Linked DNA regions of Oryzias latipes. The protein of the gene in region 1 purifies or fractionates together with the protein of each later gene. This does not show direct contact. Links are inferred from orthologs where the notes say so. Each region holds a gene or a part of one and is shown on either strand. Other genes may lie near its edges. The genes, in order: prpf8, eapp, sf3b2, sf3b3, sf3b6, ttc27 and bcas2.

The links.
Region 2: the proteins of prpf8 (region 1) and eapp purify together in Homo sapiens (affinity purification with mass spectrometry; 4 studies listed by BioGRID and IntAct, counting the BioPlex papers as one, with this or other methods). This does not show direct contact. The link is inferred for Oryzias latipes from reciprocal best matches to the Homo sapiens genes PRPF8 and EAPP.
Region 3: the proteins of prpf8 (region 1) and sf3b2 purify together in Homo sapiens (affinity purification with mass spectrometry; 3 studies listed by BioGRID and IntAct, with this or other methods). This does not show direct contact. The link is inferred for Oryzias latipes from reciprocal best matches to the Homo sapiens genes PRPF8 and SF3B2.
Region 4: the proteins of prpf8 (region 1) and sf3b3 fractionate together in Homo sapiens (co-fractionation; 4 studies listed by BioGRID, with this or other methods). This does not show direct contact. The link is inferred for Oryzias latipes from reciprocal best matches to the Homo sapiens genes PRPF8 and SF3B3.
Region 5: the proteins of prpf8 (region 1) and sf3b6 fractionate together in Homo sapiens (co-fractionation; 3 studies listed by BioGRID, with this or other methods). This does not show direct contact. The link is inferred for Oryzias latipes from reciprocal best matches to the Homo sapiens genes PRPF8 and SF3B6.
Region 6: the proteins of prpf8 (region 1) and ttc27 purify together in Homo sapiens (affinity purification with mass spectrometry; 3 studies listed by BioGRID and IntAct, with this or other methods). This does not show direct contact. The link is inferred for Oryzias latipes from reciprocal best matches to the Homo sapiens genes PRPF8 and TTC27.
Region 7: the proteins of prpf8 (region 1) and bcas2 purify together in Homo sapiens (affinity purification with mass spectrometry; 3 studies listed by BioGRID and IntAct, with this or other methods). This does not show direct contact. The link is inferred for Oryzias latipes from reciprocal best matches to the Homo sapiens genes PRPF8 and BCAS2.

What each region holds. Positions count from the first base shown.
Region 1 is NC_019871.2:16,920,923-16,924,422, forward strand, and holds part of prpf8 (pre-mRNA-processing-splicing factor 8), read left to right. Parts: intron 1-105; coding exon 106-269; intron 270-352; coding exon 353-479; intron 480-649; coding exon 650-842; intron 843-958; coding exon 959-1,146; intron 1,147-1,238; coding exon 1,239-1,477; intron 1,478-1,553; coding exon 1,554-1,700; intron 1,701-1,958; coding exon 1,959-2,169; intron 2,170-2,285; coding exon 2,286-2,402; intron 2,403-2,495; coding exon 2,496-2,743; intron 2,744-2,844; coding exon 2,845-3,024; intron 3,025-3,152; coding exon 3,153-3,288; intron 3,289-3,500. UniProt on the Homo sapiens protein: Plays a role in pre-mRNA splicing as core component of precatalytic, catalytic and postcatalytic spliceosomal complexes, both of the predominant U2-type spliceosome and the minor U12-type spliceosome.
Region 2 is NC_019880.2:24,339,581-24,343,515, forward strand, and holds the start of eapp (E2F-associated phosphoprotein), read left to right. Parts: upstream 1-1,135; 5' UTR 1,136-1,265; coding exon 1,266-1,345; intron 1,346-1,658; coding exon 1,659-1,837; intron 1,838-3,145; coding exon 3,146-3,244; intron 3,245-3,935. UniProt on the Homo sapiens protein: May play an important role in the fine-tuning of both major E2F1 activities, the regulation of the cell-cycle and the induction of apoptosis. Promotes S-phase entry, and inhibits p14(ARP) expression.
Region 3 is NC_019876.2:19,496,889-19,500,388, reverse strand, and holds part of sf3b2 (splicing factor 3B subunit 2), read left to right. Parts: intron 1-2,613; coding exon 2,614-2,756; intron 2,757-3,156; coding exon 3,157-3,258; intron 3,259-3,500. UniProt on the Homo sapiens protein: Component of the 17S U2 SnRNP complex of the spliceosome, a large ribonucleoprotein complex that removes introns from transcribed pre-mRNAs.
Region 4 is NC_019864.2:25,096,010-25,100,020, forward strand, and holds the start of sf3b3 (splicing factor 3B subunit 3), read left to right. Parts: upstream 1-1,211; 5' UTR 1,212-1,347; intron 1,348-1,919; 5' UTR 1,920-1,989; coding exon 1,990-2,059; intron 2,060-2,815; coding exon 2,816-2,971; intron 2,972-3,541; coding exon 3,542-3,712; intron 3,713-4,011. UniProt on the Homo sapiens protein: Component of the 17S U2 SnRNP complex of the spliceosome, a large ribonucleoprotein complex that removes introns from transcribed pre-mRNAs.
Region 5 is NC_019882.2:13,000,521-13,003,928, reverse strand, and holds sf3b6 (splicing factor 3B subunit 6), read right to left. Parts: upstream 2,188-3,408; 5' UTR 2,065-2,187; coding exon 2,035-2,064; intron 1,711-2,034; coding exon 1,592-1,710; intron 1,105-1,591; coding exon 966-1,104; intron 870-965; coding exon 780-869; 3' UTR 501-779; downstream 1-500.
Region 6 is NC_019873.2:9,610,715-9,614,050, reverse strand, and holds the end of ttc27 (tetratricopeptide repeat protein 27), read left to right. Parts: intron 1-640; coding exon 641-741; intron 742-2,477; coding exon 2,478-2,603; 3' UTR 2,604-2,836; downstream 2,837-3,336.
Region 7 is NC_019865.2:942,938-946,673, reverse strand, and holds bcas2 (pre-mRNA-splicing factor SPF27), read left to right. Parts: upstream 1-1,324; 5' UTR 1,325-1,428; coding exon 1,429-1,521; intron 1,522-1,917; coding exon 1,918-2,010; intron 2,011-2,099; coding exon 2,100-2,170; intron 2,171-2,271; coding exon 2,272-2,433; intron 2,434-2,511; coding exon 2,512-2,562; intron 2,563-2,642; coding exon 2,643-2,723; intron 2,724-2,796; coding exon 2,797-2,923; 3' UTR 2,924-3,236; downstream 3,237-3,736. UniProt on the Homo sapiens protein: Required for pre-mRNA splicing as component of the activated spliceosome. Component of the PRP19-CDC5L complex that forms an integral part of the spliceosome and is required for activating pre-mRNA splicing.

The DNA.
Region 1 (3,500 bases):
TGAAAAAGTACAATTAAAAGTGTTATAATTCTTAACCCATGAGTCTCAATCTAAAACATTTGACCTGCTTTAAACTTTTTTCCTAACTTTGTGTTCTGGTTGCAGGATGGCCCTTACATCACAGCAGAAGAAGCTGTTGCCATTTACACCACCACTGTGCACTGGCTGGAGAGCCGGCGATTCTCGCCCATTCCGTTTCCCCCACTGTCGTACAAACATGACACCAAGCTGTTGATCCTGGCTCTGGAAAGGCTCAAAGAGGCCTACAGGTACAAATGTTAGAACATAACGGACTCAATTTAACACGACTGCTCCTGTTCAAGATTGTGATTTTTATCTTCCTTCCTCATAGTGTGAAATCTCGTCTGAATCAGAGTCAGAGGGAGGAACTCGGCCTGATCGAACAAGCCTATGACAACCCTCATGAAGCTCTGTCCAGGATCAAACGTCACCTGCTCACCCAGAGAGCGTTCAAAGAGGTCAGCACGACTGACTGACTCTATATTGGCTGCAACATTTAAAAGCTTCAAGGGAAAAAGTTGACCTTTGAAAAAACCGAGCATGTCTTTTTTTTCAACCAGTGTTCGGTTAAACCCTTTTTCCAAACCTGTTTATTGCATCACATTTGATGTTTTTCTTGTCGTTTCAGGTTGGCATTGAGTTCATGGATTTGTACAGCCACCTGGTGCCAGTGTATGATGTGGAACCCCTGGAGAAAATCACAGATGCATACCTGGATCAGTACCTATGGTACGAAGCAGACAAGAGACGGCTGTTCCCACCCTGGATCAAACCTGCTGATACTGAACCACCTCCACTTTTGGTTTACAAGTGGTGCCAAGGTGAGTCCCAGCCTATGTTGATTTCAAATAGATGTTTTACTGCCGTGTAATTTAAATGCTCTTAAAGAAAAATATTACAAAGGAGCTAATGTAGTTTATTTGGCTGCTCCTGTCAGGCATCAACAACTTGCAGGATGTGTGGGAGACTGCGGAGGGAGAGTGCAACGTGATGCTGGAGTCCCGCTACGAGAAGATGTACGAAAAAATCGATTTGACTTTGCTGAACAGGTTACTGCGCCTTATTGTTGACCACAACATCGCTGATTACATGACGGCCAAGAACAACGTTGTCATAAACTACAAAGTAAGCTCTCCTCTGTTTGGGAACATTGAGCTTGAGCGCATAATCATTGTCTTTAAACTGGTCCATGATGTCAATACATTCATTTCTTCTAGGACATGAACCACACCAACTCTTACGGCATCATCAGAGGCCTGCAGTTTGCTTCGTTCATTGTGCAGTACTACGGCCTGGTGATGGACCTGCTGGTCCTCGGCCTGCACCGTGCCAGTGAGATGGCGGGCTCCCCTCAGATGCCCAACGACTTCCTCAGTTTCCAAGACACCGCAACGGAGTCTGCTCACCCAATCCGACTGTACTGCCGTTACATCGACCGCATACACATCTTCTTCAGGTGAGACTAAAAACAAAATGCCTTTCCTAACTCATTGGCAGATTCTAAAACTCTGCTTTCTTTTTACGGCCTTCAGGTTCTCTGCTGATGAAGCCAGAGACCTGATTCAGCGATATCTGACGGAGCATCCGGACCCCAACAATGAAAACATAGTGGGGTACAACAACAAGAAGTGCTGGCCCCGTGACGCCCGCATGAGACTTATGAAGCACGATGTAAACCTGTAAGTTCATCTTCACAATATATAGTGAATAGATTCATCAGAATTTTAATTGAAAGCACAGTTATAAGCAGCTCTAACATTTCCTTGGAGCTCATAGTTGTTGGGAGAAGAACCCTTTCTGCACAGCACCTCTTCTAGTTTACTACTGTTCACATCATCATGCACTGATGGCGGAAAAACACTCTTCAGCATAACTTTAAACGTAACATTGGAGGAGACTGCGATGGCGTTTATCACAAATCTTATTTCCCTCCCCAGTGGACGTGCAGTGTTCTGGGACATCAAGAACCGCCTGCCCAGGTCTGTGACCACGGTGCAGTGGGAGAACAGCTTCGTGTCCGTTTACAGCAAAGACAACCCCAACCTGCTCTTCAACATGTGTGGGTTCGAGTGTCGCATTCTTCCCAAGTGTCGCACCAGCTATGAGGAATTCACTCACAAGGATGGCGTCTGGAACCTGCAGAATGAGGTGAGGAACAATAACGGTCAGCTGCTGGCTTTTGGAGACAGCTGCAGTCTCGTGTGTAAAGCAAACATTGTTCAGTTTATTTTGAAATGGAAAATGGTTGTTTTTCTTTGTGCCAGGTAACAAAAGAGAGGACTGCGCAGTGTTTCCTCCGAGTGGATGATGAGTCAATGCAGCGTTTCCACAACAGAGTGCGTCAGATCCTGATGGCTTCTGGCTCCACCACTTTCACCAAGGCTAGTAGAAATCCCTGTAAATCACTCTGGTGTCCTGGCCATTATCATAGACCATGATCAAATAAAAATCCATTGTCTTGTTTTTCCTCTTAGATTGTGAACAAGTGGAACACCGCTCTCATCGGCCTCATGACGTACTTCCGCGAGGCTGTGGTCAATACTCAGGAGCTGCTGGACCTGCTGGTGAAATGTGAGAACAAAATCCAGACACGTATCAAGATTGGCCTCAACTCCAAAATGCCGAGCCGCTTCCCTCCCGTGGTCTTTTACACCCCCAAAGAGTTGGGTGGGCTGGGCATGCTGTCCATGGGTCATGTCCTCATCCCACAGTCAGACCTGCGGTACGTTCTGCCACATTTCTGTCCCAACGTCTCTTCTTGAAGCTAAAAACACATGTGGTGTCTAAACAAACCAGTCATTCAGTTCTCTGTTGCTGCTACAGGTGGTCTAAGCAGACCGACGTGGGAATCACCCACTTCAGGTCTGGAATGAGCCACGAAGAAGACCAGCTCATTCCTAACTTGTATCGATACATCCAGCCGTGGGAGAGTGAGTTCATCGACTCTCAGAGAGTTTGGGCCGAGTACGCCCTCAAGAGACAGGAAGCCATTGGTCAGAACAGGTGCGGACAAAATGAGATCAGCGTTTAAGGGTTCACAACGTTCCTGTTCGCGGAACTGTTTTATGAAGGGGTTCAGTTGAATGCGAGTGTTAAACAAGTCGTGTAAAACGTGTTGTTTGTTGTTCTAGACGTCTGACTCTGGAGGATTTGGAGGACTCCTGGGACAGAGGAATTCCCCGCATCAACACACTTTTCCAGAAAGACAGACACACTCTGGCTTATGACAAAGGTTGGAGAGTCAGGACAGATTTCAAGCAGTATCAGGTATGACGGAGATGCTCCTTATGAGAATAAATTAATCTGGAAGTGAATATCTGCTTCTTTGAAAGAATGGATAGAAAGTCAATAGTTTGTCAATGCTACTGAGAGTCACAAACAAGTTAACCTTATTTAATTTCAAGCATGAAATTATAGAACTATTAAAATTACATTCATATAGATGTTTTTGACTTGCAGATTAGTTTCTTTGATGCTGT
Region 2 (3,935 bases), on another chromosome or scaffold:
TAAAAAATAACATTTATTTACAAATTAATAAATACCGATCGACAATAACTAAAAGGTGAAGCAAAAAGGCTTCAGGGTGAACCAAACCCAAAATAACAAACAAAACCCCACCTGACTGAGATCTGAAATCTTACCTGTGACAAAACAATAACCTCCGTGGAGACAGGTTGCAGCAAAGCTCCCTTCTGGCAGGCTGGGGGTCCACATGCTGCTTGTAAAGGCTGCCTCCATCAGCTTGGGTCCAAAAGGAAGCCACACCCTTTCCAGCACCAAAGTAATCAGACAGACACACAAAAACCCACAAAACACAGAAGTCCCACTATGATACAAAAAAGACAGAACAAAAAGAACAAAACCGAATACGGCCACAGCCATAACACTGGAGGTCCAACAGGATCTTTGCCCTCTCATTCTCTACCACTTCAGAGGTGTTTCCCATTTTGACTTTATGGTTTCCAGTTCATATTCTGCACACATGTTCCTGTATATTATTCCAGCCACTTGATTGTGGCGCTCCATGTATGCTTTCCCTGCCAGTATCTTACACCCTGCAGTTATGTGCTGGATTGTTTCAGGCGCCTCTTTGCACAGCCTACACCTTGGGTCTTGTCTGGTGTGGTAGATCTGAGCCTCTATTGCTCTGGTACTCAGGGCTTGTTCCTGAGCTGCCAGGATGAGCGCTTATGGCTGAATAATCTTTTCACCTCTATTGTCCTTTTCAAGTTGCATGGGTTATCCTTAAACTAATCTTGAAAAACTTTTTATTTAATGCTTTTTGAAGTCTATAGTTATCATTATATTTTGGGGATACATAAAAATATATAATGTTTGAAAATTTTCTTAATTATTTTCATGTTATACCTACTGTTAAATCCAAACAATAATTAATTTCTTCTTTTTTATTAATTTTACTTTTCTAATCTTTTAAATTTAGCTTCAGCATTTTAACCTGACCGATTTTACTATTAAATTGTGGCTTTAGCAATAAATAAATTTATTTTTATTTGTTTCTTTTGTTTTATATTCCACCTACTTTTATTTTTTAGTTCTGAAATGAATTTCCTTTTAGATAGTTGAAGTAAAAATGATTTTAAAATGTTTCTCCACAAGAGGGCGGTAACGAGTTTTCCAAGTGCTTTTACCACCATAGAAGAAGAACCGATGCCGAAGAAGAAGACATACGTCAGACTGGACAGAGTGTAGACCAGTTTCGGGATAAATCTTTCCCGTTGTTTTGTCTTCTGAGAAAGTTTAAAATTGTTAAAATGAGCAAGTTTAACGGACCGGTGGAAAGTGAGGCTTATGAAATCGATGAGCCAAGCGACGAAGAACGCGCTTCGAGCAGGTATGATGTAAACAGACGGTTAGCTTCATGCTAGCAGCACGAGGCTAACAACAGCTGAAAGCAACAAAAACGGATAAAAACATTACATGTTTATGATTTGGTTTTTAATGATGTTTTTGATTTTAAAGGTAGAATATATGCAGGATAAACCAGTTCCTAGACGTTTAATTTTAAAGTTTGAATCAGGTTTTAGACCATGATAAAAGAGACGCAATATGTCGCATTTTGGCGCTGTGTTTTGCTTTGCTTCATGATCGTCATCATGATGAAGGTTTCCAAAAGTCCAGTTTTGAACAGAAACGCCTGTCTTCAGCTCCGAGGACGAGCTGGACGTGCTGCTGAACGGGACGCCGGACCAGAAGAAGAAGCTGATCCGGGAGTACCTGACCGGGGAGAGCGAGTCCTCCAGCGGGGATGAGTTTGAGAAGGAGATGGAGGCAGAGCTGAGCTCCACCCTCAGGACCATGGAAGGAAGCTGGGCCCCTGCAGCCGGTAACCCGTAACACGCACAGACACACACAGGGCCCTTCCAAACACAGAAACACCAAGCTTTTGTACAAAAGAGAGCTGCTTGTTGTTTTGAACCACTTTACCACATTGGAGCCACCAGCCCCAACCTCAGCCGCCTCCCAGCATCATCATCAGCAGCAGCAGCAGCAGCATAACTGTCCGTCTCTCCTTTCAAAACCATCTCATTCTGCTTCTAGAGCCTGATCTGGGGGGTATTCCAGAAAGCAGGTTATGCTAGTTACCACGGTAAGTTTGAGGCTAAGGAAGTTGATACCCTCAGCTTTCTGTTTTAGAAATGGAGGTATGCTTCAGGGTAGGTCAAGTTGCCATAGTAACTCATGCTCTGAACATAACCTGGTCTGGAGCAGGTTTAGTTGAAGCTTAGTTTGTTTTCAGAGAGGTGAAGCAGCATGGCGTGTCCATTTGAAGATGATTTAGTGGATGAAGAAGCTCAGATAATACTTTTTCCACCATTGTTCTCCACGCGTTTCCATGGTTACTCCGTAAATCGGCGATCTATTGAGAATGTCTTTATGTACCTGCTGTGCACGAGCATTAACCCAGGGTTACCAAGTCGAGCGCAATTACGCCAACTCATACCCGGTCTTTTGGAACCGACATACCCAGAGTAAGCGATTTCAGGCGGATTTCAGCCAGAGTTCAGGGTTAAAGTCAGGCTAGTTTAAACATGCTTCCTGGAACACCCCACAGGTCTTCTGATGTTTCCATTCCTCCATTCAGTGCAGCTTTAAAAGCTGTTCTTCTCTTTAGAAGCTGCAGACTTTAAGGTCTGAGCTGTAATGAACAGTCAGATCAGTGACCAGCATGGGAGGATTTGTAGATCCAGACAGGTTTCATGCAAAACTCAAAAACAATAGTTTTGACCTGATACCACTCATGTTTGGCTTCTTTACTTTGTTTTAATTAATAAATCATACAAACATTAGAAAAAAGATATATTTTAGAAATACTGTTCAATTTAAAATAGAAAAATGCTCTTTTAATACAATGTACTTGCTATAGTAGAAAGTCAAGTCAAACCAGCCGGAGTCCACAACCTCTCATCCACCAGAACCTTCAAATCCTCCACAATTCCAGGAGAAATTGAATGATTAGTTTGTGTTAAATAAAAGTCCCAAAACAAACCAATAGTTTGTAAATTTTGAATGTTTTTCTGCAAAGGCAGCTCATCAGCTGTTCTCTGGAGGGGTTGGTCTGCTTCTGTATTAATCTGACTGCAGACGAAGGTTTCAGGAGGGATTGCATGTGAAGGTTTCCTCTCTCCTGCAGCAGAAACTGGAGGAGGCAGCGAGGTTGTCGGTTCCTCCAACCCTCAGATGTACGACAGCGTTTACTTTGACTCTGATTCAGAGGAGGAGGACACAGCTGGTAAGACGCACACTGACGCGGCGTGAGCACGGGCATGCTAGGTTCACACCGCCCACGGGAATCCGCGTCTACGCCACTACTTCCAACGAGTCCAAGTCTATGTAAACGCTTGTAAATGCGCATTTCCGGCTTCTTCGGTCAAAACTCTTTTGTTCGTGCATCTCTGCGCGAGTCTTGATGTCTGTTTTTGTACAAAACCTGCACCCACTGAACGCACTTTGAAAGTTAAACCAGTTGAACTTTGACCAATCAGAGAGTCAGATTTGGTAGTGACGCATGCGTAGCATCCTTTTTAATTCACCAAATGGGCTAACTGGTTGAAAGGTGATCAAGAAGGAGAAATTCAAAATGTGCAGTTTGTGCCCTGCCAGAACTACATGACACACCAAGTCTTTCATAAACCGGAATCGAGCCGTGAAAGAAAACGCCTGGAGATTTGCACCGCTTTGAATTTTCCTCCCAAGCCTCCTCCAACTGGAGGTGGTGGACGTGTTGGCGCCCGTCCACTGTGAACACCATATGACAACGCATGTCCAAGAATGTGTGACACGTCTGGTGTGAACGTAATTGGGAGTGGGAATTGGACTAGGAATATTAATGTTAGCGGTTGACCGTTGTACCACCATGCCAGAAATTCTGTTCTAGTACATACATAGAATAATTCTCAGGGTTTGAATGCACGTCATGAAAT
Region 3 (3,500 bases), on another chromosome or scaffold:
ATGTAAAATTGTCTAAAAAGCCCACTCAGATATAGCACTACTTGATCAATAGAAAACATAAACTGATGTTCAATTCAACAGTTGCTGCAACTTTCGCCATAGAAAAACATGGGGTATGCTTTTCTGCAATCTTAACTTCTATATACTTTATGCCATTAAAAAAAATCAAACATGTATCTGTTATTTTTGTAGACCTTTTAACTGTCTTTAAATAATTTTTCAAATATTTTATTGTTTTTAAAACGATTGAAGTAGTTTAAATTCCAAATATAATGGAAGTCGATGGGGAGTCTGCTTTTACTTCACTGTTTTTGAAATGTATCTCCTACAATTTTTTACCTACAGACGCCATTTAAACTTTATACAGGTATTACTTTTCTTTTGAATACTTCAAATAGTTTTTGAACTACAGCTTTTTTAAATTATACGAGTCTTGACCCCTCATCAGATTTTAACACTAGTATATACTGCGGAATGTTCGCAGACCTAGAGTGGGTGACATCATCGCTTTTTATTATGATATTTCAGCTATATGATGGCTTTTCTGGCCAATTTGACATATACTTATGTTTTTCCAGTTATTCTAGCATTTAGCTGAAGTTCTGGCATTATGCTAGCTGTTTTGGCTAAGTTTTAAGCTAATTTGGCACTAAACTGTACTTCTAGGATTATGCTAGCACATTTCGCTAAATTGACATATATTGAGCTTTTTCAAGGATATTTTAGCATTCAACTAATGTTTAAGCAATAAGCTTACTGTTTTGGCTACAAAAGAATCTACTGGGATTTTTTAAAATTAATTTAGACTATAGCTGATATTTTATATTTTTCCTTTTTTCTGCTAATTTGTTATTAAACCATTATGTTTATACGATTCTAGCTCATGGCTAATTTGACATCTACTGAAGTTTTTAAAGCTTAGTAGGTATTAAGGTAATATTTTGCAATATGCCAGGTGTTTTAGATAAATTGGCATCTACTAAGGTTTTTCAAGCTATTTTAGCTAATTTTTTAGCAATATGCTAGTTGCCTTGACTAATTTGGCATCTATTGAGGTTTTTAAACTAATCTGGCATTTAGCTACAATTATACCTAATTTCTTAAGATAAATTTATATCTCTGAACAACTGTTTAGATACATCTTTGCAATTCTTCCTTTAGTAAGTTTTGGAGTTTTTAGATTTGTGTCCTGCCATTTATGGACAATATTGCTCTCTTCAAGTTTTTCTGCCATGTATGTCTTTTCTGCAATTAAACAAATGTGTTCCATTTCAATTGTAAGGCTATTTGCAGGTTTACACTTATAGCTCCAAAAACGTCTGCAAACTTTATATAAAAAACTTCAGCAAATTATTCAACCTTTTTCCTTTCAATAAACATCAGCTTCTACAACTAAAAGTTTTGCAATCAAGCAAAAGCAACTATCAAGCAATTACACAATCAAACATGTTTCTGCAGGAAATGCAACTTTTCTAGTTGTAAAACACATTGATTTTTCTTTGTTTTCATCCTGTTGGTTGACTATTTATAGGCAGTTGAGTTGTTATTGAGATGGTGATCCGATTCACAGGTCAAACCACAATTCTTAGTATTCACTATATTTTTTCTGAATGGTGGATACATGTTTGAAAACTAAAATACGTATTTAATCAGCATTGTTTATACATTTTATTTAGAGCAACAGATCAGAATAAAAAAACATGACAAATAAATAGACAGATTTTTAAAGAAAGAAATGTTATTTGTCACTTTTAACAATGTCACACTCAAAAGTTTTTCTGTCAACTTCCTAGTTAACTTCAGCAGTAAACAAAACAAACATCATTGTTGCTTTGAATCATTTAACAATAAATCCTGAAAATGTTCTCCACAGTTTTTCCATCCTCAAACTTTAGCTGACTACAGTTCCAGTAGATAAACGACAAGATAATAAATTAAGACGCGGCAGGACCTCAAAAAATATTTAACAACCAGAAAACTCAGTCTTTTAATCTTAACGGAAAACCGTGATTCCAACAGACATGTTTCGTAAACAGACATCGTTAGTAGAAATACAATAAAACTCCAACACGTTTTGCAGATGCGTTCATTTACGACTTCTCCACAATGCTAGCGTATGATGTAACATAATTGGTCACCAGATTTTTGTAATATTCTTAAATATTCATTTTGTGTTTTATTTAAATTGGCAATTAAATTCAAAACAAAATCCGTTTTTAGATGAAATGTGAAATTAATTAAAAAATTAAAATAAATGAATCTATGCATATTCAGTAAACTGAACTTCATTCTCTTTTTATTTCATCTACAAAAAACACTTGATAAGTTAACTTTGGAAATGAAACCTTTCACCAACACTTTGAAGATTTATTTACTTCCAGTTACAGTAGCGCATTCGGTTTGTTTAGTTTATGAACTGAAAATCCTCTGTTATTCTGCCCTTTACAGTGTAAAATGTTTTTTTTACCACACTCTACTATATTTGGAAAGATTGCAAATCAGCGATCTTGAACATTAAAAAAATATTTGTACTTGATTTTTCTGGAATAGTTTGTGAATTTCCAAATAACACTTGTTACAGCCCTTGTTTACTGGACTAATGTTTGTGTCCAGGCTAAGGCTGAGGAAGAAGAGGTAGACCATACCCCATGGGGAGAGTTGGAGCCTTCAGATGAGGAATCTTCAGAGGAAGAAGAGGAGGAGGAGAGCGATGAAGAGAAGCCAGATGAAACTGGATTCTTCACACCAGCAGACAGGTCCTTGATGAGAAAACTAAAATGTTCAGCTAAACTTAAAGATTTTCTCCTTTTCTATCCATTTGTTTGAGGATCGGTGGCAGAAGGGCTCAAAATAGAAAAGCTTATTCTTGTATTTCTTTGTTGTGAGAGATGTCAAGTAAAAATTAAACATCTGAATGCTTTTTTAGGGCCTTTTGATGTTCAAATCCTCTATTCTCAACAAGAGGACCAGTTGAAAAACATTTAGTCACTGTCCTAATTTAACGAATATTAACATAACCTAAAAACATTGTTTTCAGGCCAAGTTTATCACTGAAGACTGTTTATTTTTCATTTTGGGATGTTGATTCACACATGGGATGAAACCTTGCTATAAAGAAAGCCTTCAACTGAACTGACGCCTTGTTATGTATTGCAGTGGACTCATCACTCCTGGAGGCTTCTCGTCTGTACCAGCCGGCATGGAGACTCCAGAGCTGATTGAGCTGAGGAAGAAGAAGATCGAGGAGGCCATGGATGGGTATGTGGGGTTTCTGCTGTCACAAACATGCTGCTGCTGCCTTCAATTCTTTCAGTGCTGAAGGCCACTTCCAGTTACTATATTAGCTCTTAAAGCCTGCTCAGTGCTGGTTTTGTACAAAAACAGAGTCCCCAGCAGTTCAACAATAATCTAGGGTTAGGTTTGCAAAATATGATAAATACGGTATTATCTTCAAACTGCTTCTGTTAATATTTTTTGTCAGAATTCAAATAGTTTTGTTA
Region 4 (4,011 bases), on another chromosome or scaffold:
CAGAAATCAAATGGAAGTAGTCCATGTTTGAAGCCACTTTATTCTGAGATGCACATGCAGGACGATGGCCTTCGACATCAGCGGCTGACGCCAGAGGAAGAGGGATGCACCTTCATCATCACCCCTCAGAATGAGCCACCTCGACGCTTTGTCTGGTTTAAAGATGCCCTTATCGCGGGGGGGGACTCACCTCGATGCACTGGCGGGGCACGAGCGTCCTCCAGCCGCTCCTCGTGCGCTGATGCTGCTGCTGCTGCTGATGCTGCTCTTCGGGCGTCTAACGGCGCGCTCCCAGCGTGCAGTCACGCCGTCTGAATCTAAATGGCTGAATGTTTCCGGGGAAAAACAAGCTGAGGAATTTCAATAACCCTTGGGTGAAGGAGACAAGGGCTGCTAAACCCGCAACAACTAATGTTTCATGAGGCTAAAGCCTGCTAAGAAAGACACGGGGAAACGGAGGCATTACGGAATGGGTGGGAGGGTGGGAGGGAGGGAGGCAACTGGAGACTGTTCGTTCGTCGGGACGACCCTTTGCTACAAACCGAGAGGCGGCGCGGCTCGGTTTCTTTAAGGGAGAGCAGATTCACACTGAGCCCGGCGGCTGCCACTTTCATCTGCGCGAGCCAAAACTACAACTTCCTGTCTGAGCTTTTCATAATTTAATGTTTGTATTGTCAACAAATTATGCAAAATATCCCTCTGTAGGTTCCCTGAATGCCCGTAATTATAATTAATATTGATATTATTCTTATTATAATAATTTTCATTATGAATGACGGTCATAGTATGATTGGTAGTGGAATAAAAACTCTCAAAAATGAAATACTTAAAAACAACATGACCAAAATAAATACGTTTCACACTTATTCAAATAAACAAAATGTTGGTCAAATCAAAAAAATACATTTAGGAATCACAGCCATGTATCTATCACTGCAACATGCACACGTAGCAACATAGACAATAAAAACAGCTAAAATAAATAATTGTAACATTGGTTTCAAATGCGCTGCTCAACAAATGTCCATTCGTTTCTAAATATTGCATTTGTCCTATTTCCACCCTTTTAAATTTAACATTTGTACGTTTTTTTCACGCTTCACCATACTTGAGTTTTAAGCTATTCGTGGTATTTTAGACTCACTGGTCTTTGTCGACACCTCGTGGACGTTTAACTCATCAACAGCTCTTGATTCTTGTCAGGCATCGGGCGGGCCACCTATATCCATTACGTATCGCAAAGCGAAGGACCCTCCAACGGCTTCTTGTCGTCGGAGCTAAAGAAAAACGTTCTATTTCATGAAGTTAAATCTCTTTGGAATCTGAATCATCTCTTTGAGCCCACTGGTAAAAGTTTCAATTTACAAATCTGCATCACCGTTCAACTTGTTGAGCTTTATATTTTTTTTAATGTGTAAAAAATATCGGTGAAAAAGCTGCACAGCTGTAGATTCATCGGTAAAAGTGGCGCCTTGAATGAATAGGCTCCCCCAAGCTAGCAGACTGAATAATGACTCCTTTCATATTAATTTTTTTCCCTTTAAACCTTTTTTGGGATATCGCAACAGCAATGCTCGAGTTGTATACGCCACAGTCTCGTGGTCGTTAAATAACATATTGTGTAAAATGCTAAAAAGGTAAAGCCTAATGCTATTACAAAATAGCTAGCTAATGTTGGCAGTTGCTGTGAAGTGTGTAAACAAAATATAACCCCTTCCCGTCCTCAAATCCCATACTTCAGTGTTTATTTCTTGTTGTATTTAGACAATTGTTTAAGTTTGATCTGTTTCACCAAGTTCAACGTGCGTCTTTTCCCTGACATTTTACGTGCCTGATACTAAAAGTTGCTTAGTTTGCGTGTCACTTGTCACATCTTTGTGCAGAGTTGGTAAATATACTTTTTAATTTTTTTCCTGTAGCTTTCACCCGGGCTAAGGTTCAGTTAGCCGCTCCAGAAGGTCGTTGTGTAGAAACAACTGACCAGCAATCATGTTTCTGTACAACATCACCCTGCAGCGCGCTACCGGCATCAGCCATGCCATCCATGGAAACTTCTCAGGTGAGCTTCTAGCGGTACTATGACGGCCTTCCACTGCTTTTGTCACTCAAGACCCACACCAATGAAAGCTGTGTTTTAATACGTTCTTTCCATGCTGGACTTACACTAAGAAAATTAAGCTTTAAATTGCATTTCTGAGTATTTCTTTATTCAAATAATTGGGAATTGGTAGCAGACAAAAATGCTACTGGGAAAAGCTTGTAGTAGTATGTAGGTACTATAGTTGCAGACCATAAACTCCTTTCTTCACTCCAAAATGTGCCATTCTCCCCTTAATCCTTTGATGCCTATTGATGCAAATATCCATTAAACCATTTCTTCTCCAAATCTACCTTAAGTAGACCTTAACTTGGCATCTACATGAAAACAAAGACATAAGTTATTTTTTTTCCTTCATTGTCCTAAATAAATTCATTTGTCAAATTATAGTAGTAGGTTTAGGGGCGGGTAAAAGAGCTGGTATATATGCGCTCATGGGGGAGGAGTCAGACCTGAAACTCCTCCCCCATGAGCGCATCTATACCAGCTCTTTTACAGCCAATTCAGAATTGACAATGCCTCTTGGATAAGAGGTGAAACATCTTCTAACTTTAAAGTACAAATGACGGCCTCTAAACCTACTCCTATTATGGAATCGACCTGGATGAATGAGAGTCTTCATAGACACATTTGTCAAATGGTTCAACACAAAGCTGATTGTTTTTTCTTCACAAACGTCTTATCTAATGTCAATACATTTTGTTTTTCATTATTTAGGAACCAAAATGCAGGAGATTGTAGTTTCCAGAGGAAAGATCCTGGAGTTACTGCGCCCAGACGCCAACACGGGGAAAGTGCACACACTCCTCACAATGGAAGTGTTTGGTATTGTGAGATCGCTGATGGCCTTCAGACTCACAGGAGGAACTAAAGGTATGTAACCATCATTATTTAACAATATGTTACAGGTGAAAGATTTGCTGATTTTGCTTTTCCTAAAAGAATGGTCAGAGTTTATTCTAAAAAGGCTTTGGTACTGATTTACAGATTTTTGTATGTGATTCTTTCGCTTAATTTTAATGATGAGGAATAAAATAAGCTTCACTCTCCTCATTGAACTTTATCCTGTAAAATTAGGTGTTTAGGTACCAAAGGATTAGAAAGAAATGTTGCTGCTTATTGAATCACTTGATTTGGTTTGCTTTTGATATTTGTGCTGCTGAAAATGATTTGAAAACTGTTTCTTCTTGTCATTAATTGTGATGTTTCTCAGTAATCTGTCAGTTAACTGTTACTGTTGAAGCTTTGTGTGTGTTTTGCTCTGGTTTGGTTTACTCTGGACAGAGATCTTCCCCCAAATATAAGCTGTCAGTTTTCAGTGACTGTGTTTGATGAAGGTCAAAACTCTTAAGCTAGCAGGAAGCCCTTTTTTCACGTTTACTTTATCCTCATTTTCAAAACAAATTCTCAAAGCGTGTGTTTGGTTAATTTGTTTGTTTGTAGATTATATTGTTGTTGGAAGTGACAGCGGACGCATCGTCATCCTGGAGTATCATCCATCTAAAAACATGTTTGAGAAGATCCACCAGGAAACCTTTGGGAAGAGCGGCTGCAGACGGATCGTCCCGGGACAATACCTGGCTGTAGACCCTAAAGGCAGAGCTGTCATGATAGGTGAGAGTTCTTAGCGTGTCCTTTAAATGCGCATTCTTTCAGTATTCTCTTCTTCACAATTTCAAATGGTTCCATGTGTAATTTTCAAAGAGTAGCAAACACACAGAGTGCAAAAGATCAATTAAAGTGAAGATTTCATACATTTGAAGTAATGAGAGATATTGAAATGAGAGATATTTTTGGTTTTCTCTCTGCTGTTTAATTAATTTAAAATGAATTTGTGCAACTTTTTCAATGAAGCAGGTTCTCTGTAATGATCGATTGAAACTGAACAGAAGGTTGCAAACATAGTTGAAAAA
Region 5 (3,408 bases), on another chromosome or scaffold:
GAGGAATTTTAAAACAAATGGATAGTCCCATGTAAAAATATAAAATATGATAAAGTGGATAAATTAAAGAATTCAAAATAAATAAAAACTATTAAAACATTTGCTAAAAGGCAGTTGAAAAAGATGGGTCTTGAAGCTTTTCTTAAAAGCAGCTATGCTCTCTGCAGCTCTCAGGTCCTCTGGCTGACTGTTCCGTAAACAAGGGTGTACCCCACCTTTGCCCTACAACAGCTAGGATAGGCTCCAGCAACAAATATAGCAGGTTAAGATGGATGGACGGAAAAGACTGAATGACGGTCAGCTTCTCAAAAGATACTTTTCTGTTTGTGTGTAAATGTGGGGGAAAAAAGAAAAATTAGCTGATGTGACAGGTTTACAAAACAAGAGTAAAGTGAGTTCATATGTGGTGTTTATAAAACAAAAGACAATGGGTTTAAAGAAAAAGAGACATTTATTTTACAATAAATGGGTTTAAACAAACATTACATCCATTGATGTTCTTGGAGCACAAGGCAGAGACCTGTTAACTTTCAAATAAAATTATGTGGGGGGGGGGGAAAGAACTGAACTGAAAACATGCCTGGTTTCACTTCAAATTAAAAGCTCAATTAACATCAGAGAAGTCATTTTTAAAAAAAGCAGACGGCAGGTCATGCATAAAAGGTTGACAAAAGCACCAAAACAAAAACCTGACCAAGCAAAAATTTTCAAAAAAGGGAACATTTGTACAGGTACAGAGAAATCTAAGGTGTGTGAGAAGGTTTTGATAGTCGTGGAGATCATTTGGGAGGGTCTGTGTTGATGCCGTATTTCTCTTTTAGGAGCTTCAACTGCTCTTCCTTCTTCTTTGTGTCCATTTTCTGGAAAGCCTGCAAAAATATGAGCGGGTTGATGGTAAACAGAAAAAAACAAACAAACAAGGAACCAAAAAGGTTGTAAATGGATGAAATAAAAAGCATACGTACTCTGTTGGCGTTGTAGTAAAGAACAACCAGGTAACGATTGCAGACGTTGAAGCCTGACAGGTGATCGCAAGCGTTCTTGGCATCAAATATGTCTTCATAAACAACATACGCCGTTCCTCTGCTTTCAGGTGTGTTACCCCTAAAATACAGCAAAAGCATGAAATGGTCACACATCTTAACCTGTTCCATAATAATATTGTCCTTAAAGACCCACTCTGATGAAAACTGTTTTAAAACATTTTCTCATGGCATTTTTCTGATGAAGGACAACATATATGAAAGAATATTGAGCTTATTTACATATTTATTTTATTGTCTGAAAACATATGAAAAAGTGATCTAAGAGGGACTCTTAAATGATGATAACATGTGAGGGGAACAAACAAAACAAGCATTTTTAATATGATTAATAATGATTTAAATGTCAAATTTAAGCAAATGCTACACCACAGTTTGGAATGAAACGATTTTTTAAATAAATTTTGCTTCTCATTAATACTACCATGTAAAAAAATTACATTTATATATATTCATTGTTAGTAGACGTGGTTGTGTGTTTAGGACAGACATTTTTTTAAATTAAAAATAAACAAATAAAACTGAAGGTATGAAGACAAAACACTTACGTTCGTATTTGACGTATGGGTCCATATTTGCCAAAAATGTCGTACATTTCCTCAGCCGTGATCTTGTAAGGCAGATTTCTTATGTATAGGATTCTGTTCACCTCTGGAGGTAACCGAATCTGCAGCACACAAAAAAGAAATGTGTAACAGAAAGACTAGCATGTAAACAAACGGTATAAGAATTCTTCACTAAAGTGTACCCTCTAACGTGCTAAAACAATAATAATTCTTTAAAATTTTAAGATGACAAAACAATCAATTTTACCATCTCATTTTCAAAATGCCGTATTTATTAATTTTTTTACGTAGCGACGCTATCTTTTAGTAACCAATAGCTGCTAAAGGCTAACGGAGGGCTAATTGTCCCTTTCGTGAGCACCAAAAACCATATTAACATATACTCGTTGTTATATAGTAAAGTTAAACACAAAAATTGACCTTACATTAGCGCGTTTCGCAGCTTGCATAGCCATGATGACAGTTTATTTCGTCTGAACAATAGCTAAACAACAAACACGCAATGCCTTTAGCCTTCACCAGGAAATGGAGGGACAAAACGAAGACGAACATCCGGTTAACGGATAATACCAATAGGTACAGCAATAGGCATGTGCTTCCCTCGTGTGGTTAAAAGAGGAATCACACACATTTTGAGATACTATTAACACAACTTTTTTTAAATTTCTTTGTAATTCTGTTCTTTGACCTAGAAAAAATCAACATGGCCATGAAAGTGGTTTTGTGGTTTCACAAGACACAAGAAATAAAAAGACTTATGTGTACCTCTCTCATCAAAGTGTTGTGCAATGAGATATATGTGTAGGGAAAAGTAAAATTACTTATAAACATCAATAAAATGCAAAACAGTTTTTTTTGTCATTTTTGTGTTAGGAAATTCCCTACACTGACAAAATCTATGTATTTAACTTTTTTGGAGAAAAATATTGGAGATTTGAGCACTAGTTAGAATTGCAGTTTGACCTGTTTACCCACAATTGGGGTTTTGGCGTTAAAATGAATCTACTCCCCTTTTGTGTCTTTTTTTTCTTTAAAGATAAAATCCAAATTCTATACATATTTATGAGGGGGAAGTTAGTAAAAATAACCATCTCTCATAAAAAAACAAACAGAAAACAAAGCTGTGCTTTTAATTTCTTTAAAAAAATACAGTCTAAAAAAGATCTTAATTCAAAGTACTCGATTCCTCTTCTTTTGTGACATTTAAAAAAAAAGCGAGATGACAATCACCTTTATAAATCTAACCACAAATAAAAAATATTTTTTCTCTAAAATGTTCGGAGAAAAAAAACTATATATAGAATATTAAATAGAATTGTGATAAAGTATTACAATATAAAAGAGGAAAAATAAACGACGACATGAGAATAAAGTCATAAAATTATGAGAAAACAAATCAACATGGGGTAATGATTTGTTGAACTGTTGTGCTTTTATTTTCTGCAATTAACAGGTTATGGGTTAAAGAAACGAAAAGAAAAGAAAAAGTATTAGTGCGCAGGCGCCATGTGGGATTTGATGATTCGGTCCGGTAACGGTTGCAGATTACGGCGGGAGTTTTTCCAACGGCAAACTGGCGTCTCTCGAGGAAAATCTAGAAGGGACGTTTTATTGAAGTCTCGCGACGTGGAAAAAGATCGACGGTTGAAGACCAACTCGGCGAGGAGAGCTTTCTTAGTCTGAGATGAATAAACGGGTGAGTTTTAGTTTAACATTTTTTGTAAACCAAAACGATAGCCGAACTCCTCGTATTGACTTTAGTTGTTTTTTTTTATTCGCAAAACGCCCGTTTACAGAAA
Region 6 (3,336 bases), on another chromosome or scaffold:
TCTGCAGAAACATTGTCAGAGAAAATGACAGGTTTTTGAAATTTGGCTAAAAACAGCATAATTGTCATTAAAAGACTTTAAATCAAAGGATGATCAGTGGGTCTTTAAGGGGCGGAGTCATACTTTTCCCACAATTTTATTTCCTCTTAAGATCTGAGAACTTAAAGGATCAGAGTGAATGTTTGGATAAACCACGTTAGATAGATTGAGGAGAGATTAAGATGCTCCGAGCAGCGTTTTTGGAAACGTCAACATCAAGGTCAATGTGAAGATGAAGTAATAGAGCCAGCAGCCAGCTGTTGTGCAGATCCAGCTCAGATGACGACACTCACAGCAAAGGACAGATAAAGCAGAGCAGGAGGAAACTGTCTCCATAAATCACCACCGGTTGACCTTCACAGCAGAGGCGGAGGAGGCAGGAAGCAGCTGGGCTTCCTGCCATCAGGAAGAGGGAAGAGCTGACCTGTGAGGAGGTTGTTACTGCAGTGATGCCACCTGTTGGAGCTCATTCCCCGATTAGCAGTCATTTCAGTCTAAAACACAAAAAACTAACTTCTGTTTGTTTGGAAAATCTTCCAATAAAAAGCTGTTGTGTTTTTTAAAAGTTCCTGCAGTCCCTGAATGTCTCTTCATCTCTTAGTGACCATCAGCTGCAGTGAGAAGAAGAGCAACCCTGCTGAAGCTCTGCAGATGCTCTCCTCCACCCGCCTCAGCCTCCGGAGTCTGGTCACCAAAGCCAAAGTAAAGTCCAGCCACTTTTTATCTGAGTGAAGCTGACATTTCTGCTTTCTCTGGGGTGGGGGGTGTCAGTGTGTTTGGGACCGGTGGGGGTTCAGACTCACCTTTTTCTGCGGTAGCAACATAACAGAAGCCGTAAGAAAGCAATGATTGGTCTGAGTCAATGTTTCCATGGGAACTACTCTCTCTAATCAGGAGTGAGCTTGTTGGAAGACCCCACCCCTACTACTTGAAAATGGGTTTGGGAGAATCTGTCAATCAGACATTTCAAACATTTGATGTGAGACCAAAGACTTTTATTCCGGCATCTGACTGGTCGGTTTCTATTGAATAATTTTGTCTATAGAAAAAAAAAATTGTAAATAAATTAGTATCAGCAAGAATATGTCACTCAGTCCAGTTCACATATACAGTCAATTTTCCCCAAACACTTTCTGGTTGTTGTGTGACTCCCGACCGTGCTTTAGGTTGCTTTTGTTCAGGATTTCCCCCACAGGCTGTTGAGTTGGGAGGCTTTGGTTTGCTTTCACACATGACTCTAACGGAAGAGAACCAGAGACCGAAACGGAACCAAATCAAAAACGAAATAATCTCCCTTTGAGAAAACATGTCTCTGGGACTAGAATTTCTTTCTTAAAATAGGAATTCTTAAGACCATTTTTCTTACACCATTAGCCTTTTTTATTGATTATTTAAAGAAAATCTCCCAATGGGGTAAGAATATTTGACTTGTTTTGAAGGGGCTTGTTTTTGCAGCGTAGTGTGCTTTTAGGCCAGAGATGTGACAGTCACACAGATCATGAATTCAAAACTATATATCTAGATAGCTTATTTATGATAGAAACTGTCTCAAGTCCTTCCTGTTCTATCTTATTAACTTACATAATGGTGACAAAATTAACAGATCAGTGCAGATATGTGTCATCATATCAGTTTGTGTAGCTTCTGTGGCGTTGTGTAATATTTTTTTGCCCTCAAGTCTCTTCATTTCTGCTGTAGAAAACCTGCTGGTCTCTCACTCATAGTACTGTGTGGATTTAAAATGTTCACAAAAACCTTTTCTGTTATAAATACAGACGTTTACCATCTATGCATGCACACATTTTTACAGTTGTTTTTTTTTTCAGAAATGAGGCCCCTGGTGAGCTTTCACACCTGTCTAACAAAGCAGACTATAGGAACTGTTGTGCTTCACACAGTGAGCTATGGAAGTCTTTCTGTTCCATCAGATTCTGAACTTTTTAAACCCTCGAATTTTCAATTTGAATTTTTAAAACCTTTGCATTTAAAAATTCAGAACGAAAATTTGAGGGTTTAAAAAGAATTCAGAATCTGATGGACCAGAAAAACCTCCATATGAAAGCAGCCCAAACTCATCCTGCCACAGTCTTTTTGGTTACTGGTTGATTAATAATTAAAAGGTCTAAAACACAAAAGTTTACAATTTAATCATCAAAATCAGTTTAGCTTAATAAAATACTTTGATGTTTACGAAATGTTACTTTTATGCCTTGATGATGTTCCTTTGTGATTAGAATCCGTTTGTGCCAAAAACATGTTTTTTAGCACCAATGGAACCCCGGCAAAATTATTTGTGTACCGTTGTGATTCTAATCAAGTTGTGCTTTTGCAACTGTTTTGGTTGACTGCTGCATCAGAGGATCTAGAGCAGCCATGAAAGTTGTTTTTAAGGCGTTCCCCCCTCAGCCTCTCACCTCGCCTGCTTTGCTATCTTCCAGCAACTGCACACGGATGCGGGCACAGGTCAGCTTCCCGCCGAGCTGCAGGATGGCATCGCCACTCTGGAGGAGCTCATCGCTGCGCTGCAGAAGCAAGGAGGCCTGCGGCGAGACAAATCCCTGTGACATCCTTACAGACACGCCCCCTTCCTTTGAAAGAACTCCCAACATCATCTGTTGACTTCAACAGATGACTTATTTTGGAATCACGTTTTTATAGTTAAATACCCTAAATGGAAAGAACATTGAACAGTAAAATCTTAAAAACTCTTAAATGAATTTGTTTTTATGCAGTTTCTCTTTCATATTTTCCACCAAATATTGAGAAAAATAAAAGAAAATCTGAAATAGTGTTTTAATGTTTGTCTTTGTCATTTTTATGGAAATTCTGCCCTTCACTATATTTTTAGTCATCTTCTCATGTCTTGGATTTAGTCTCAGAGCTTACATTTCCCTAAAATATATCTTTATACATCAGCGAGTGTTGGGAACCTTTGTTTTCTTTCTTTACAGTGAAGCTTCAGATGATTTATCTTTTAAAGTGGAATATGTAAAGACTTTGATACCATCCATCCATCCATCTTCCTCCGCTTATCTGGGACCGGGGCAGCAGTCTAAGCAGAGATGCCCAGACTTCCCTCGCCCCAGCCACTTCCTCCAGCTCCTCTGGGGGAACCCAGAGGCGTTCCCAGGCCAGCTGAGAGACGTAGTCTCTGAGCTTCATTGTGTCCTGGGTCTTCCCCGGGGCCTCCGCCCAGTGGGACATGCCCGGAACACCTCTCCAGGGAGGCGCCCAGGAGGCATCCGGACTAGATGCCCGAGCCACCTCAACTGGTTCCTTTCGATGTGGAGGAGAAGC
Region 7 (3,736 bases), on another chromosome or scaffold:
TAACTTTAGCTATTTAATGAATTAACTAAATCCCTTTATGCATTTGACCAATCAGATATAGCCCTTTACGTTGTTGACCAATCGGATGGAGCTCTTACGTTAGATGTTGCCCTACTAATTAGACGAGGGTCATTTGGAAGATAAATTTAAGGTATTTTGACTCTTATTTATACTAAACATTTGAAGGGAAATGGAAATGTTTTTGTTGTTTTTGCTATTTGTTCATTTTTTGCAAGTTATATCTTCATCGCAATATTGATCACTAATATCGCATATAGCGAGTTTTCCTCATATTGTGCGGCCCTACATACTATAATGCATACACATACCAGTACTTCCCCTTTCTTGGCTATTTACTCTTGGTTATTATTTCTGTATTGTTAAGATGAAATGCCTTCAACGTAAACTTATAATTTTATATACATTATTTAAAAAAAAATATTGAAGTGATGATGAAGTATTTTTACAAGATTGATCACATTTGTATCAGAAGAAAAAGCTATTTATATATTTTTTTAGAACAACAACAAAAGAAAGATAAAAAAAGCATTTATTTGTTGAAATTTAATATGAAACTCTTTAAAGGTTTACTGTAGTGCAGTAATAGCTGAAACCTGAAGTTTGTTACACTACACATCTGCAAGAAGCTCCTGGGGATCTTCTATCAGTCTGTGGTCGCCAGTGTAATAACCTACGCTGTGGTGTGCTGGGGGGGGAGCACCTCAAAGACAGACTTCTCCAGGCTGGAGAAGCTGATCAGGCGGGCTGGTTCTGTGGTTGGCACAAGGCTGGACCGTCTGGCTACTGTGGCAGAGAGAAGGACACTGAAAAAACTGACAGGTATCCTGGACAATACCAGCCACCCTCTGCACATGACTATCGGTAGCCAGAGAAGCACCTTCAGCAAGAGGCTGCTCCTCCCAAGGTGCGGGACTAATAGACTGAGGAACTCCTTTGTCCCCCGGGCCATCAAACTCTTTACCACCCCCGGGCCATCAAACCACTTAGGAGGGGGGAGGGGGACAGAAAGGAAAGGGAAAGGGCCTGAATCACTTTTTTTTTTTTGTATATACTGTTTGCAGATATTTAAATTGTTTTTTACTGTTCTAATCTTCCTCATTTTTCTAGTCACTGTGCTGCTTTTTCCTTTTTCCTATATGTATGTCAACCAGTGCTGTATGCGATGGAGATGTCAATTTCCATGCGGGAACCTCCCAAATGGATAAATAAAGTTGTCTATCTATCTACTAAGCTGCAGTTCCATTCCTCAACGCAAGAGGCGACAATCACGATTAATACAACACCGTTGAGACTTTTATTTCGGAAAGTTTTGACCGGAAACGGAAGTTTCTGATTAGCCGTTTGGAGTCTGTTAGCAGAAAAGGACTTTCTTTCTTTATTTTTATTTTTTTTTACTGGGGAGCGAACATGGCTGGAACGGCCTCGGTCGCTGGCGAAGTGTTTGTTGATGCGTTGCCGTATTTTGATCAAGGTTATGACGCACCAGGTGTCAGAGAAGCGGTGGGTAAACAAGAATGCTGCTTTAAAAGCTAGCTAACTTATAGCTAGTTAGAACTGTTAGCTAGCGATGCCGCATGGTAACGCGCCGTTCAATGTATAGTTGGCCAAACCATTATTATTATGATCGCCTGTATATTTCTTTAGATCTTGTCATTATAGGTTTCTGCTTTGAAACTATACAAGTTCATAATTTAGGATGAAAACCTTCAAAGCCAAAGCTGCTGTTTACCTCATCGGGTAAAACAACAGCTGAGGGGTTTGAAACAGCCGGCAGATCTGGAGAACCAGGGTTTGGTGACACTAAGTTGACATGTTAGATCATCAGGGGTTGTGGCTCATTTTTAAATCATGTTTGTATGAAAAATGGAGAGAAATCATTTGTACTTGGCCCTTCAGGCCGCTGCGTTGGTGGAAGAAGAGACCAGAAGGTATCGCCCAACTAAGAACTACCTGAGCTACCTGCCCATGCCGGAGTTCTCGCCGTTTGAGGTGAAAACCTGCAGACATTTGAAACTTGATTCCTAGTCTGGGTTGGCTAACCGGTTTATAATCCTTTCCCGTTTTGTTTTGGGTTTCAGACAGAAATCATGAGGAATGAGTTTGAGCGATTAGCCGCTCGACAACCAATGGACCTCCTCAGCATGAAGAGGTAAAAAACACACTCTGTCTGTCTGTACAATATTTCTGTAAATGTAAAAGAAAGAGAAAGTTTAGGGTGATTCCATAGAACGATTCTATTCTGCTGTGGAGGTATGAGCTTCCAGCCCCCACATCGGGACAGAAGAACGACATTACCGCCTGGCAGGAGTGTGTCAATAACTCCATGGCCCAGCTGGAGCACCAGGCCATCCGGATCGAGAACCTGGAGCTCATGTCGCATTATGGAACAAACGCGTGGAAGGTCTACAACGAGTGAGTGGCGGCCTGTGGGTCTCACCCTTTGGTGTCTGACTCTTCTGAAGACTCAAAGCTAATGTTGTCCCTTTTCAGCAATCTGGCCTTCCTGATTGAGCTGGCTCAAAAGGAACTCCACAAGTTCAGGTGATTGAGGATTGGATCATACATGCCTGAAAAGATCCAACGGTTACCATGGTTACACATTTCTGAACTTATGCCGGCAGGAAGAAGATCCAGGACCTGAACTGGCAGCGCAAAAACGATCAGTTGGCTGCAGGCGCCAAGCTGCGAGAGCTGGAGTCCAAGTAGGTTCTTCTTAAGTTCTGGTGTTCTCGTGGATGAGGGGTGATGTCTGACTCTGGTTCTGATTCCCGCCAGCTGGGTGTCGCTGGTCAGTAAAAACTATGAGATCGAGCGCGCCATCGTCCAGCTGGAGAACGAGGTGGCTCAGCTGAGGCAGCAGCAAGGGGAGGAGAACAAGGAGAACATCCGACAGGACTTTTAGGAGTCACCTCACCGGGATCCGTTGGATGGATCTGATTCGGTTGGTTTGGACGACTCGATGACTGCTGGAGCGTAGCGGGTCACTCGACTCCAAGACGGATGATGTTTGAAAGGCGTCGGTTTCCTCTGATGGAACCGTTGGGTCTTTTGTGTTCAGTTACACACAAATCATGGTTTGAAACTCATGATCGATCGACATGATCGATGTCTTTGTAGCTTGTTGTACAGTTTCTAAGTTGTGGTGGAGAAAAAAAATCCTGTTTTTGATTCAACTTTTGTTTTTTATCGTTTTAATAAAATGAACGTTTCATACACATTGTTATTTTTTTCAGTCTTTTACCTGTAAGTCTCTGAGCTTCAGAGCTGCAGCTGATGAGCTGGAAGCTAACAGATGGGAGCAGCTGGATGGTTTGTCATTCATCCCTCTTGAAGAACAGTGAAACCTAAAGTCTGAGGCCTAGAGTGAGGCGGTTTTGTGTCAGATCCCCTGTCTTCTGTACATCCACTGAACTTTGATCTCAGAAATCTGCAGCATTTTGTGCTGATCCATTTTCAAAAGTCTCAGCGTCTTCCATGACTTCCTGGATGAGTCTTCATCTTTGTTGTTGGTCAGTGGCACAGAAAGGTCACAACACATTAACTCACAACACATTAACTTACCACACAACACATTAACTCACAACCCAAAAACTCACAAAACATTAACTCACAATGGAAGTAAAGCTGCAATGGAGGTGCTTTTATCCTGAAATTAATTAGTGTATATATATATATATATATATATACACATCAAGCTCAAGGCCCCAACTGACAG